Rhinolophus ferrumequinum: one gene and its partner. The protein of the gene in region 1 interacts with the protein of each later gene in a biochemical or structural test. Links are inferred from orthologs where the notes say so. Each region holds a gene or a part of one and is shown on either strand. Other genes may lie near its edges.

Region 1 (7,373 bases):
ATTTACACCTCCATTTCAGACCCCTCATCTGCGCTCCACACATGTATATCAACTTTTCATTCAACATCTCCACTTGGATGTCTCAAAGGCCTCTCAAACATGCACGCTCATGTTTCTCTCACTCACCACTAAGTGGTCCTCTTTCAGGATCCTGGATCGTGGAATGATATGACCAACCATTCTGTTGTGCAAACCAGAGGTAGGGGTACCATCCTTGACACTACCTTCTCCCTGACTCCCTATACTTAATCCATCTCCAGGTACTGACAATTTTCTCTCTGAGACATATTTCTAGATTTGATCTATTCTCCATATCCACTACCATCAACAATCCACACCAAGAACAAAGACCTTAAGACCAAAATTTGTAACATGGCCTCAGTTGTCCTGCTCAGTTATCCCTGCCTATCTCTCCAGCTCTGGCATTCTGTTCTCCAGCCTCATCGGCCTTCTTTGATTCCTCAAGGATAATATGCTGTCTCTTTCCACACGGTGTTTGCATTTGATTTCCCTTCTGCCTGGAACCTCCTTCCCCTACTTTCTCAGCCTAACTAAATTCTACTCATATTTTACCTCAGTTCAAATGTCACGTTCTCAGAGAAGCCTTCCTGGATTTTCTCTCCCTACCCGCCAGACCAGTTTAGCTTGTGCTCTTTTGTGTTCCCAGGGCACCATCCACATTTCCTTCATGGTATTTAGTACAATTTGTAATTTTATTCTTATTTAATCCGCCCCCCCCAGATTGTCAACTCCAAGGGGATAAGGAACCAATCTATTCTGTTCATAATTATATCTTCAGTGCCTAACACAGTATTTAGTATATACTAGGTGCTCAAAGCATATTAGTTGAATGAATAAATGAACAAACAGATACATTTTTTAAAGGATCATACTGTGTTGAGAGTAGTTATAGGGAGGTAGGCAAGAGGGTATGCTATTAGACCAGTCAAGGGGAAAAGAATGATTGTGGCCTAGATTAAGTTTGGTGGCAGTGGGGATGGAGTAAAATGAATGCATTTGAAAAATATTTAGGTACCAGGATGTGACAGGACTCGGTAACATTAGATGTAGACTGTGAGGGAGTAGAGGTTAATCTAGAATGTTGCCCAGGATTACAGCTTAGGTAACTGATCAGAAAGTAGCCATTTCTGAGAGTTAAAGAAAGAACAGATTTGGAAGAAGGCTAGAGAGGGAACATAGGGAAGATAATTCAGCTTGGGATCTATAGGTTTGGATTCCTGCTGGACTTCCAAGAGGATGTCGTGAGGGCAGTTGGATATTGAATCTAGTCTGAGCCAGATATCTATATCTATATCTATCTATATCTCTATATCTATCTATCTATCTATATCTATATCTCTACCTATCTATATGTCTATATCTCTCTATCTCTATCTATGTATATATCTATACCTATAGGTATAGGTATGATCACCTATAGGTATAGATATAGATATAGATAGAGATAGAGAGATATAGAGATATAGATAGATATAGATAAATAGAGAGATGAAATTTGAAGCCTTGGGAGTGAATAAAATACCCAGGAGAAAGTGCAGAATGAAAGAAGATAGCTCAGAACAGAACTAAGAGCTTCACTGACATCTAAAGGAAAAGGAAAAAGGTATCAAATAAGATTGAGAAGGAGCAGACAATGCCAGGAGAGAAACCAGGAAAATGTTTCAAGGAGAGTTGACACACACCACTGAATACTATGAAAACGTAAAGGGGATAACAGTAAAGTGTGCATTGGACTTGGCCACATAGAGGTCTCAGGTGACCTTGGCTTGAGCAGTTTCAGTTGAGTATGAGAGACAGAAAACAGAGTGAACCGGTTTTAAGAATGAATGGGAAGTGAGGAAATGAAGACAGTAAGTGTAGACAAGGTTTTGTCTTTGAAGAGTGGTGTAAGTTGGGGCTATGCTGGAAGGTTTGGAATGCAAGAAATGCACAGGCAGATTCAAAATAGGTTTCGGAACAACCTCTGAATTGGCGGTGGGAACACTGCTCCTAATGAGTGCTTCTGTGAGTGCTAGGCCTCCTGGCAGAGCTGGGGACACAGCCGGCCCCAGAGCACACTTTTCGGTCGCTGAGAGCGACAGAATGCGGCTTGACAGATTCCAGGCCTGGGACCCTGCAGGAAAACGTGCGGCCTCTGCCTACCTCACCCCACGTCCCCTACCCAGCCCTTCACCTCCCATCCCCCATCCCCCACCCCCCACTGCCCCTCTCTTCGCGTCTCCAATACTTGCCCCCTATTCATCCCGGAGGGGCAGGAGGTAAAGGTCCGGAATGACCGTGCTGAGGACCGAGGTGGAGCCTACAATGGAGGTGGGGGAACAGGAGATGGTGGGAATGCTCGCGGTGCGAGGACTGCCAGCGGAGATGGGGCCTGGCCGGGGGTACCCGGGCCCCCACGGGTAAGGGGCTGCGCAGTCCGCGGGCCGCTGGGGGTCGGGATCCGGCCTCCGGGGCTGGGCGCGGGCCGGGGCAGCTCCTACCTGCGCGGGGAGGCCCCAGGCCGAGGTGGCGGAGGTGGCTCAGGCTGCGGGGCTCGGGCTCCGCGGCGGCTTCTCCATCACAACATCCCCCGCCCAGGAGCGCGCGGGCCGCGGGGCCGCGCCCCGAGCTGCGAGGGCGCGCGCGGGCGGGGGGAGGGGCGCCATCTTGGGCCGAGCGCGGGCGCGCGAGCGCGAGCCGCTCGGGGCTGCACTTGGACGCAGTGTCCCGAAGGGCCCCACCCAATGCCACCCTGCGGCCTCTGTGAGCCCACCGCGGAAGCCTCACGCCAGCAGCTACGCCAGCGCGGGGTTCCCGGGTCCCACAGCGCTACCCACGCGTCTGCCGACCCCTACCCAGCCCGACACCGCCCTCCACCCCGAGGCCCCGGAGTCGCCCTGTGCGCCGGCAGGGCCCCGCCCCGCACCCCCGTGGGGCGACGCACCCACCGGGTAGGAGCCTGGGTGGCTGTGGCGGGGCCAGCCCGCAGCTGCGCAGGGAGGGCTCCGAGAAGGCAGCTTGCTCCGCTCTTGCGGCAGCACTCCCGGGCGTCCTGGTGGAGAGGCGATGAGGACACAGCGCTGGCGATAATAATAGCTCGTATTTATTGACCGCTTACACTGTGCCAGGCTCTGTGTTAAATCCTTTACATGCATTCATCCTCGCGTCAGACTGACCCCTGTGAAATCGCCGCTATTGTTATCCTCATTTTTCAGAGGCAGATGCTGAGATTCAGAAAGGTAAAAAGATTTGCCTGCAGTCACAAGGTGGTGAACTCAGACTGGAACCAGATGTTTCTAGACACCCTACCCCTGCTGCTGAACATAAAGCTGTGACACCATGGCCTTGCAGGTGTCAATAAATCGCTCCCCAGTAGAAATACATAAGAGGTAATGAAGAAGGGGAGAATGGGTGAAAAGTGTGAAGGAAGGAATAGTGGGGCACAGTGTTTACTGCAGATTGCCTGGATAGTGCCATCGTTCCCAGTGGTCAGATCAGTGGCCCAGAGGCCACCAAGGATCATGAGGGGATTGTTACCATCCTGAAACCCTCTCATGGCTCATTCCTTTAAGGCAGAGGTTTTCATTTATGGTAGCTACTATTGTGCAACTGACTGGAGGTGCCGTCAGGTTTCTAACACTTAAAGGTGCCCAAATAGAAATTCGTTATTTCATCCCCTTTATTGGCCTTCTAAGAATTTTCACTGGGGTGAAAAAGAACGCTCCCCAACACACTCCATGTGCATGCACGCGCACGTGTACACACACACACACACACACACACACACACACACAAGAGTAGAGGCAGCTCCACTTCCTCCATCCCAGAGAATGACACCACCATCTACTGGCTTGCCCAAGCTAGAAGCCTCAAGAACGTCTTTGACTATACTTTCACTTGACTTAAGGTGAATATAAATGTTTTAATGTTTTATTATGGAAATTTTCAACTGTATACAAAAGGAGACAGAACAGTGTAATGAACCCTCATATACCCATGACTCAGTTTCAACAATTATCAACTCCTGGCCAAGAGTTTATTATGATTTGACAAACCTCTATGATATATGTATGAACCATGTACCAGGTCCCGAGCTAAGTTTAGGGATCCAAAGATGAATCCGATTTGACTGTAACCCAAACTGGAGTATATAACATCTGATCCTGGTCCTTGGAAAATGAGTAAGAGTTACCCAGGAGAAGAAAGGTGTCCTCATTCACTTATTCATTCTCTTTTGACTAATAATTATTATGTGTGAGACACTGTCCTTGGTGCTAAGCACACATGAAGAAACAAGATTCAGTTCCTGCCCTCTTGAAGTTTAAGTAACAGGGGAAAGACACATTAAACGTGATTAGAAATGTGATGAGTATCTTGAATGAGATGTGCAGGATGCTAGGTAAGTGGACTAAATTTTGCCTGGGGAGATTTGGGGAGGCTTTAAGAAGGAAGTGGCACTTATGTGAGGGGAATGGGGTGAAGGCAATAGAGGTCAGCCATGGAAGAGAAAATCATTCCAAGTCAAAGGAGAAGTACGAGAAGGCCAGTATGGGTGATAGCGGAGAGGCATGGCATAAGTGGAGCTGGAAATGTGGGTAGGTTCCAAATCAAGAAGGGCCTTGTATGTTACGCTGAGGGTTTTAAAGTTTAGTTTAAGGGCAATGGAAAATCATCAAAGGGTTTGAGGCAAGGGAGTGGCATGTTGTCCCTTGCATTTTAGAAGATCACTTCTGGCTGCTAAGTGGGGAATAGATGGGAAGAGAGCAAAATTGGCAGTGCAGGGACCAGTTAGGAAGCAATTGATATAGTCTAGGTGGGAGATGACTATAGTGGTGGGACGAGGATGGAAACAATTATATGGGTTTAGTAAATATTCAGGAGATAGAAATCAGTGATCAATTGACTGATTGGCTATGAAAGTATGAAGGAAAGGATGCCTTCCAAATTTCTGCTTGAGCAAATAAAAAGCCAGAAATATTATCAGTATACTTGTCTTCCCAACCCCATTGGGCAGGATGGCTGCAATATCCAGGGAAATCTCTTCAGGTAACCAGAGGAACACAGATAGGATGGTCAGGGTGTGAAAGAGTAGACTAATTAGCTAAGATGCAAAAGGAAAATGTGCAGTTCACACACAGTGCAGTTTGACCCACACACCGTCTTCCTGAATCCCTGATCTCCTCAATGGGGGAGATCTGCAACGCCTCCTGATCAATGGGTGTCAACCTGTGCCCTTCATCCATCCTTTCTCTACTTGTTTCTCTTCCCCCTTCTGAGGCTCTCCATGGCCTAGGAGTAAACAATAGCTTATGAACCACCTCAGATGCTGTGTGTTGTTCTAACCAATGTAGATCCCTCTGAGGCAGGAATCTTTTAATATTATTCCCTTGGACTTATCAAGAAAAACTTGAATTAGAAGCAAATCCATTCAGAGTCATTTAATCAAGAGCACTGGCTTTATGCATTACCAGGAAGTTGGCACCCAAGTCACCTATATGGAAGAATAGAGCTTTCATCTGTATTAGGAGCAAAGTCACGAAGTGGAGCAAAGGTAGCTTTTTCTACCACTACATGTAAGTATTGCTTTGGTATTGTAATTTTTCTTGTAGTTGATCCAATAAACCCTCTTTCTTCTGGGTGTTTGTTATCATTTGGAAAATGTATAAGGAGTAAAATCTTCCCACATAATGTATGGAGTGGAATTTATAAGTCAGATGTTGGGTCTGGCAAGGACTTCTTCAACATCCTTCTTTGGCAGGACTATTTTAATACATTCCCAGGGAGAGCATATAAGGTGAGAAGAGAAAAGGACTGAGGACTGAACTCTGGGAATGCCAACATTTGGGGAACCAGCAGAGGAAAAGAAGAAAACTGAGAAGAAACAGACAGTAAGAGGAGAATCAGGGGAGAGTAGTGTCATGGAATAAATCCAAGGGAGGGAAGATTTTCAAGGAGGGAGAAGTGGTCAGCAGCATCTAATGCAGCAAAGATTTCCAATAAGGTCAAGGCAAAAAGTATCCTTTGAATTTGGTAACATGGAGGCCATGGATACCCAGGATGTGATCTGTATCAGCAGAAAATGGAGGCAGAAGCCATAATGCAATGAGTTGAGCAAATGAAAATGAGGAAGTAGACTTAGTAAGTGCAGAATGCCTCCTTGAGAAATTTGGAAGAAAGAATGGACAGTAATTGAAAAGTGATATGAAGCTAAAGATTCTGATTTGTCTTTTCTTTTTAAGGTGGTAGAGACTTGAACATGGGCATACACTACAAAAAGGTACCAGGGCAGAAGATGAATTTGAAAGTAAAGAAAAAAGCATCTGAGAGATGGAGCAAGACCCTGGAGGCAATGAGAGGAGGTGGGATCAAGGGCTCACCAGGAGAACTGGAAACCTTAACTCTACAGGCTAAAGGGATAGGCGTGAGGACACGGGTGTAGATGGGGTAATTAATAAAGTGGGAGCAGGCAAGAGGTTGAGGTACTGCATGCCTAGTGACCTCAATATTTTCAAAGTGTTTAGCTGAGGAAGGGACGGAGGGTTGCATGGAAAAGAAGAAAAACCTTACAAGATAGGTATTATCCTGTCATGAACATATTGTTGCGTTTGCTGTTGTTATCTGCGCAGCATCCATTCCCCATTTTACCGGCAACAGCACCTCAGTTTTCTTTGAGACACGTCCCCTCACCACTCTAAGTCTATGTGGTTCAAATGGAAATCATTTGAAGTGGGTCCCACAACCCACTTCAGTGTTAGGCTCCTAACCCATGATGAGATCAAAGTGATCAATTCAGAGATGGGCACATGACTAAATCTGGGTCAGTGAAAATCAGATCCAGGAATTTTCCTGCAACTGTTGGGCAAGAAGTGCTGGTAGAACGTACGCCTGGTGGATATCTTGCCACCAAGAAGGATGAGCCTGCCTGAGAATGAAGCAGAGCTAAGGGAGGGAGAGAGACAGACGCCCGATAACGTCACTTTAGCACTTATATTTACCTCTGCCTGAAGTAACATAAGTCAATACATCTCCTTTTTGCTTACACCACTTTGAATTGGGTTTTATCACTTGCAAACCAGACTTATGACGAATACATGTGGCAGATATTGTGTGTTGGTACTAATTCCCACACCCACTCTTCTATAATCTCCCCTGTACTAACAGGGCTGGAAATCTGAAAACTACAGTTCTCAAGACTTTTTTGTTTCTTTATTACAGCGAGGTTCTACCAATGGGAACCTTCACATGAAGAAGATGGGAGGAAGGGAGAAGTCCTTCTGCTTTTGGCAGTTCATCTGGCAACATTAGCTTCTGATTTTGCAAAGTGGGGGTGGCTCCCCCACAGTTCAGCAATACAAACTCCAGCCACATCAGCA
Region 2 (7,895 bases), on another chromosome or scaffold:
TTAGGCACGAAGGAAGCAAAGTTAAAAACACAGGATTCATGAAAGTTCTCGAGAACTTGTAGTCCAGTAGGGAACAATGGTATGTACATGTGTCTGTATCAAAACCAGACTTCCTTTTTAAAATGAACGTGGCCCTTATGCTCTCAGGGTTGGGCTGTGTGTATGGAGGGGTGTATCCACACGGGAGGACCATAAACATCGTGGACAAGCTGATGGGGTCCCCCCAGCACCCTCCTCCCCTGACATTCACGTAGAAAGAGCGCTGTAATGTATAAAGTTTAAGCCCTCACTGATTGCTGACAGCATTACAGGTTTGCTTGGCAAGAACTGCTATCCCCATTTTTCAGTTGAGAAAATGGAGACTGAGAAATATCAAGACACCTGCGCAGCCCACAAAGTAGTACCTGAATCCGACAGAATCAGGATTATAAGCCAAGGCCTGATTCTCACCCCGCATTCCTCTTCCCACTGCTCTGAGGCCTCCCAGGAGGAGGAGGGCTGCTGTGACATGGCCATGGTTTGACCTCCCCTTGACCAAGACGCTCTGAGGGTCCTCCTACCTGTACTTGAGCTGCTGCTTTTGGCTCCTGATTTTTTTCCCACCTGTATCTCCATTCTGCCTTTGCCTCCAACTTCCCATCTCAGTGACAACATCTGCTTTCCCCAAGCCAATGTTCTCAGACCTGCAGCATCAGAATCACCTGGGAACTTGTTAGGAATGCAGGTTCTCAAGCCTCACCATAGACCTCCTGGATCTGAACCTCCGGGAGGGGCCTGAGCAATCCGAGTTCCGCGAGCTCTCCAGGTGGCGAGCTCTCCAGGTGAAGACTGCTGCATCCGGCAGCTCAGGAGCCACCCTGACCTAAGCGAACGGGCTAAGCATCTTTAGTCTCTGCTGCCCCACCGTGATCACCTGGCCCCGGCACACGCAAACTCTGTGACTAAAGAAGAAAGCCATTTGTCTGGTGCTGAGCAGCCGTCACAATGCAATCACACGCAGCCAAGCTCTTCAGGGCTGGCTCAGGCAGAAGCTTGACGCCGGGTCAGAGGCTTCCTCCTTCTGGCCTACTTTCCACGGAGGCCCCACTTCTCAGGTCAGCAGTGCAGTGGCCTTTACCTTGACCCCTTTCCACCTCATCAGACCCAGCTCTGGGCTCTTGGGCGAGGAGCCACCGCAACGGTACGGCTCTGTCGATACATGTCTGTGTCCCTTAACTATGAAATGCAGCGAAGGCTCCCAGCTTTGTTCCAGGCAGCAGGTAAGGCTCACTCCATCTAGATTAAATGCTAACAATCAAATACGACCCTCATAATTATGCTACTTTCTATAATTTATAAAATTCTTTTGTAACTCTCACAAGGATCAGAAAAGCTAATTTTGAAACTGGGATTAGAACCCAGGACTCCTGTTTCATTCCCTAAGGAACAAGCTACTGTAATATGTCAAACATTTAATAAGTTCTTGTTAGTAATTAGTGGAGCTATTACAAAACAGTAAGTTCTGGTCACTGTGTAAGGGCACAGGCCCCATGTCACCAGAGCATGTTGCCACATGAAAAGAATGTCCTTTGCACAAGCCTAGTCCATTAGAAATAATGCAGGAACATGCTATTAAACAAAGAATAACTTCCTGGATCCAAAGCCCCAAGTTATAAAAAGGGCCACCTTTGTAGCCCTGCTTTGTGGAAATCTGATGATTCTCTCATCTACTTCCTTGATTTTGATGGAAAGGTCTCTAGTTTCCTCTTACAAATAATGGAAAGTGGTTACTCTATCAACATTTAATGTCTGTAGCAGCAGCATGGAGGTTGCCTCACAGTCACTTCTTTGACCATCGACATGGTATTTATGCTCAGTTCTAAAATACACAGAAATTCCTCTTGAGAAATGAGAAGCTGTCAGAGGTTAGAAACACACACACAGATACACTCTCTTCCATATGTTCCAAAGACATGGAAATATGCACACGCATGATCAGATAACCCTCCCATTCCACCTTCTTATTTTCATGTCTTAGAAACTATCTCTGTGGGAATGTGGGAACATCCCTTCCCACATTCACACCCAGGGACAGATTCCCGGAGAAGAGGTGGAAGAAAGAGAAGCAGTAAGATTCACAAAAGACTCTAATTTGGAGCATTAATAATAGAGCAGCTGAAAAGCTTGCAAAAGCAAAGAAGGGCCCTGTTAACAAAACATTCAGGGCACTTCCCAGAAACTGGCCAGACACAAGATTGCTATTGACAATGAGGAAAATCAGAGCCCGAATCAAATCTCAACTGAGCAGACAGATGTGCAGAATTCGCTGTTACGATTAGCATTTTTTAAGAGAGCAGTAGACTCCATGAGTTTGACAAAGGAAGAAAAACAAAAGATAGCCAGAGACTCATTCTGGATAAACAGTTACCATTCTGTATTCACAACTCTACATCAGCAACAGCACCTCAAGTAAGGCACAAGGTGGGGTCCTCTGCAAATTTGCACACCATCATACCAATTATCCATGCTGCGTTTGTGCATGCGGTAAACACCTTGGATCTGCACCACCTCTGTGCCTCCCACCCACCCCGACTGGGGTAAACCCCACCAAATGCAGAGAAGAACCCCTTTCTGTCTGAGAACCAGCCAGAACCTAAGCTGGCATTACACAGCAAAAACCTACGAGAACAAAAACCCAGCGGCAGACTGATGTAGAAAACCCAGAGCATACCTGAATTCTTCAAATGCGAACATGACCTAGTCAGAGACAATTTCCTTAGATTGTCTGGTAGCCTTTTTGGTTTGGAGGACAACCATTTAGTCAGTCAGATGGTGCAAAGTGCAGGAAAAAGAGGCGGGGTTTCCACACCCCCCAAGATTCTGAAGTAAAAGGCTTTCTGCAGACAGGGGCCTGCAGCCGCCAGCTCTGCCAGCTGCTGACAGGCGGCAGCTAACAGGGGAGGCAGCACGAAAACCATGTGATCATTCCAGCAAGTCTGATTAATGCAGTGTATGCTTAGGCTCCAGGCTGGGAGCTGGATTAGTCCAGGGAAATAAGTGGAACCTCGGGCACGCCTGGGATCCTCGGTGAATCACAGAACACATCCCACCTCCACCCAGAATTCTGCAGGGGGGCAAAAGCAAAAAGGAATGAGAATGCAACCTGTTCTACTGCGGTCTGCCTGATTACCTCATCTTCCTGTGGCTGCTGCTGCTCTAATGACCAGGTATGACCACCGTGGTCAGCGAACATGGTGTAGTGAAACCCAGCTACACTGGACTGAAAATTCTGCAGAATTCTGAATCTTACCCATCCCTACCAAGCATTACTTTATCACAAACGCATGAACTGCTTTGGAATCACAAAAGTCCCATTTTATGCCCACCTCTTTACCATGAACAACGTGACCTTCTAGGTCAATCGTGATGGCTGATCTCATTTATTCAGTTATTCATTTATTGAGTGTCTAATAGGTACCAGGGTCTTATCAATTCCTTGATGTACAAAAATTGCCGTAATAATTTCAGAACAGAAGTTTAAAAAAAAAAAAAAAAGAAACGAGATGTCAGCCAAAAAAGGGAAATGTTTACCAGTTTGTAAAGCCCAAGCTGGCAAGATCTGGCAAATGAGCTGCGACTGCATTCTGAACTTGCCATTAAGAAGAGTCTTTCTCATTTGGACTGCAAATCTGTATAAAACAAGGGAGGCAGATCTTAAATAAAAACCTGTGAGTCACTCTTGACTTTTTTCTCTCCCTCATACCACAAATATAATCACTAATTCTGATTCTACCTCAAAAAGGTTTCTCTGAATCTGACCCTTTCCCCACGCCCACCAACGGCCTGAGCTCACACCTGCAGCATCATGCCTCCAGCATTTCTCACTTGGTCTGCTGTGTTAGCAACTGGTCTTTCCATCCCTTCTCTCAAAACCTGCCAGAGCAATTTTTCTAAATCTGATTTTCATGCCCCCTATTTGAAACCTGCATTAGTTTCTCAATGCCCATAGGATTAAGTGAAAATGCCTGAGCCCAGCATACCGAATCTGACTTCTCCAACTCTTTCTTCCATTAAAACTCTTCACAAACCCCCAAATCTAGCCAGACAGCCCCAGTTCCCTAAATTTGCCAGGACCTCCTTTCTTTGGTCCATGGGCCAACTGCCCAGATTATCCCTTGCCCCCTACGTGACCTGCGCCCTTCCAAGCAGTGCATACTGTTCCCTCGGCTCCGTCCCCAGGACCGTTAGCCACTCGCTCTCCCTGCTGCCGGTGGCACCGCCTTACAGCATGCTGCGTGCGCCCCACGCATCTGTGGTCCTTGAGGACGCGGGCTGCGGGAGACTGTTTCTGTATTTCCAGTGCCTGGTACGGAGCCTGACAGAGGTTCGCTGAATGAACCTCCTTCTGTGCAGCTTTCTACCAGGGAGAGTGACCTGGTTCTTGTATGAGGTGCTCTGGGATGACCGCACCCCTTTTCTTACGTTACCTCTATCATGAAGAGAAGTGAGAGTCCAGAACTTGCCGCAAAGAAATGAAGCGATAATGGCCAACTGAGGCGGACTGATTAGTGAGAAAGAAATTTTGGGGAACCCCATGGTCCCTCACACCAAATAGCAATCATCAACTAAGAGGATCCAGAACGTCTCCCACAATATTCCGCACAAGTCTCTGCCTGAGACCTTCTAGGGGCAGAATCATGGCATAACAGAAAACACAGGAGTCAGCCATTAACTAACCCAGGCTGAAGTCCCAGCTCTGCCTCTGTGATCACTGACAAGCAACGTAGTCCCGAGCCTGGGATTCCCCAGAGGTACATCTGGAATAATGTGGACACTGCCCACGCCTCTGTCACAGAATGCTTGTAAGGACCCCACAAGGTGGGACAGTGGAGTCGTGAGCGGTCTTCATCACGTACACAAATTTTATAGGAACATTCTTCCTCCCCTTTGTTACTTCACAAGCCGGTCTCCCCGGGCAGAGCTGATAGCTGCCGGCTCTTCGTGCTGAGGCCACCCGCCTCCCTCAAGTGTTCTGTCTGCCCGTTCACTGGTCGCTTGTTTACTTTTGTTTTTTTTGAGCGGAAGAGGAGCAAGGAAGGTATTGCTGTCCTGTGATTCTCAGGACAAGGGATGTGTGGATATGTGTATAAAATCACTGTCCTAAATCCTAAGTTAAAAAATAAAGCACTGGAGCTGACCTAAGTCTTGGGAAGAACAACTCACCCACACCAAATACAATTATATGATGTTTTTATTTATTAAACTACCTGGGGTTAGTCAGATAAGTGGGGTTGGGGCAGCTGGTTATCAACCAGTTGCAAGCTTCCCGAGGGCAAGGAGACACTCAGTATTACGTGATGGGTTTGCTGGTTGGTAGAAAGGCCAAAACCTCCATTCCTGGCACTCTTTGCAAGGTATGGAGAGGAGCTGCAGGGGTCTTAACTCCCAGCCGTCTGGCCCAGTGGGAACTGGCCTTTCCCCTGGCCACCAGGCAGGCCCAGTGTGACCGGCCTGGTGGGACGGAGAACCTCTGGACTTTGTGCCTTTCTCTACCAGTGACTCAAGAATCGCCTCTTTCAGGGCCATTCAGAAGGGAGAGCGCAGAGCGGACAGAAACGGTGAAAAATCTCCAAATCCTAGCACCAAGTGTATTTTAAACAGAATTTTATGAGATCCCCCAATTTACTAATAAGGTACTGGGTGCCAAATGGTTAAGTAACCTGGCCAAGGTTATATTGCTATTAAGTGGCAGAGCAATGACTTGGACCCAGGTCCAAGGTTTTTAACCTCTGTGCCCTCCTGGCGTCCCAATACCAATGATCCAACTGCCCCAGGCTGCCTCCCTGAGAGACTGCCAGGCAGCCTGTGCCTGACAGAGGGCTGGGACATGATCACTCTCTGGGGTTCTTTCATCCTGCTGGACCCTGGCTAATCCCCAGATTTCACGGCCAGGCAAGAGACCGCTAAGGGCTCCAGAGAGCCTCAGCTGCCCCAGGAAGGAAGGGGTGGAAACCTGAGTTGACATAGTCTCAGGACCAGGTTGGGAACTGGGTCTGCTTCCAAGGCTGGGTGCTCCCATGTGACCTCTTGATAACCGGTAACACCAAAGTGTTAGGAATAAGGACATAAGTAAGGGTCCCTGACTCCTGACCACTCCACGCCTCACTCAATGGCACTCCTGTGACCACACAGTGTTGGGAAAAAAAAGTCATCCCAGGTCGTCCACCAATGACTCAAGGCTCGGAGAAAGCATGTTGCTACTCTGGGACTTGTGTGTCCTTTGTCACTTTCAAGGAACAGCCAGATATTAAATTTTTAGCCTTCTGTTTTCTAAAATACCACTTCCGTGGAAGGTAAAGCTGATAAGAACAGAAAACGGATCCAAGTAGCCAATTCCGGCCGAAGGAATGAAGAGCCCGAGTCCCTGCTGCCGGGTCTCCTCTCTCCCCAGCAGGGACAGGCCCTGCCGCAGTGTGCAACCACCTGGCCTAAGTGACCTGGCAGCTCGTCAGTGCCAGCACCCAGGGCCTCGCCAGGCTCATGTCATCACACTCAGCCTAGTTAATCTGGACTCACTCCCTCTTTCTAGTCTCATCCTAAGCACCAAAGCTTCCTGACTAGGCCCTGCTGCCATCTGGGCCTGGCCTGCTGCAGTTACTGGACGTGTATGCTGGCATCTCCAGAAACAAAACAGATACTGAACAAAAACATGATGGTGAACATGAGGTATCCCCCGGCCCCTGACAACTGGGGAAGCTAAATGAGAGGGATGTTTGAAATCTATCTGAAACAGTGCTCTTAGCTTAACAGGTTCAGCAAGCAACGTCTTTCCCCATGAAATGGTCAATTTCCCACAAAGGTGAACTTCGGATTTGTCGGTGCCAAATCCTCACCCCAGCTCGTTTGGAGGCTGATGGTCTGAGAGTGTAAATCCCTGTGGGTTTGCCTCACAAGCAGTGTCTCCTCTCCCACTGTGTTTAGGCTGTAGGCACACAGCCCTGACATGATGTACGTGCAGCAAAATAAAGACGGAGCAAATGAAGAGAGTCTAATGTTCCCATCAAGTAGAACAGAAACGCTCTTCTGACACTTACAGAGGTGCACGCGCACTGCTGAGCTGTGTATAGACAACCAAGAGGAGACTTAAATGCAAATCAGTTACAGTCATGACTAAAAATACGATTCTTTCCTCACGGCCCATCCGTGGGTTTTTCCAACAAGCAGGGGGCCGAGTGGAGGTAAGAGGCACTCACAAGTGTCCTCACTGGAGCCTCACCTCCAGCACCCTAATTAAGACTCCCCTCACCTCCATCTTCCTGCCTGCCTTCCTCCCTGTTGCACACAGCCACCTGTCCTGGCACCTTCCAGTTGAAACCCGCAGAATGAAGTCTCGCCCCCAGCCTGGCATTCAGCTCCTCCACACACCTCCCACACGTGCCAACCAGATCCCCACTGACCCGGCACACTTACTCACGCCACCTCCCCTGTTCCAGAGCTTTCCTCCTTCCGCCTTCTCTCCACAACGGTTTGGAAAGTGTGCTTCTGAATCCAGTTCAACTGTCAACCTGAGAAGCTTCGGACAAATTCTTACCCGTCTAAGCCTCAGTATCCTAATCCGAAGACGGGATCACAGCACATCTGGGGGTGCCCCAGAGGTGACCCCCTGGCACACATGAACCACCATCGACAGCAGCTAACACTGTGGCATATGCTTCAAAACTCCATCGAGTTCCCCTCCTAACATAAACCAGCCCATGGTGACCATGACAACTTCAGAATGCCTGAGAGGCAATAGATATATATTTTTAATCTCACATATCGGCCTGGGCTGAGGAGTAGCCGTTGTCCATTACCTGTCTCAGGCCTCTAACCTGCTGAGAGTCGCTGAGGACAGGCACGGAGGGGGCCGACAGAAG

What was found.
Region 2: the proteins of APBB1 (region 1) and EVL form a complex in vitro, tested with the Homo sapiens proteins (2 studies listed by BioGRID). The link is inferred for Rhinolophus ferrumequinum from reciprocal best matches to the Homo sapiens genes APBB1 and EVL.

Annotation. Positions count from the first base shown.
Region 1 is NC_046294.1:45,383,378-45,390,750, reverse strand, and holds the start of APBB1 (amyloid beta precursor protein binding family B member 1), read right to left. Parts: upstream 3,081-7,373; 5' UTR 2,949-3,080; intron 2,654-2,948; exon of another isoform or gene 2,502-2,653; intron 2,321-2,501; exon of another isoform or gene 2,253-2,320; intron 1-2,252. UniProt on the Homo sapiens protein: Transcription coregulator that can have both coactivator and corepressor functions. Adapter protein that forms a transcriptionally active complex with the gamma-secretase-derived amyloid precursor protein (APP) intracellular domain.
Region 2 is NC_046289.1:4,350,733-4,358,627, forward strand, and holds the start of EVL (ena/VASP-like protein), read right to left. Parts: upstream 3,017-7,895; 5' UTR 2,734-3,016; coding exon 2,711-2,733; intron 1-2,710. UniProt on the Homo sapiens protein: Ena/VASP proteins are actin-associated proteins involved in a range of processes dependent on cytoskeleton remodeling and cell polarity such as axon guidance and lamellipodial and filopodial dynamics in migrating cells.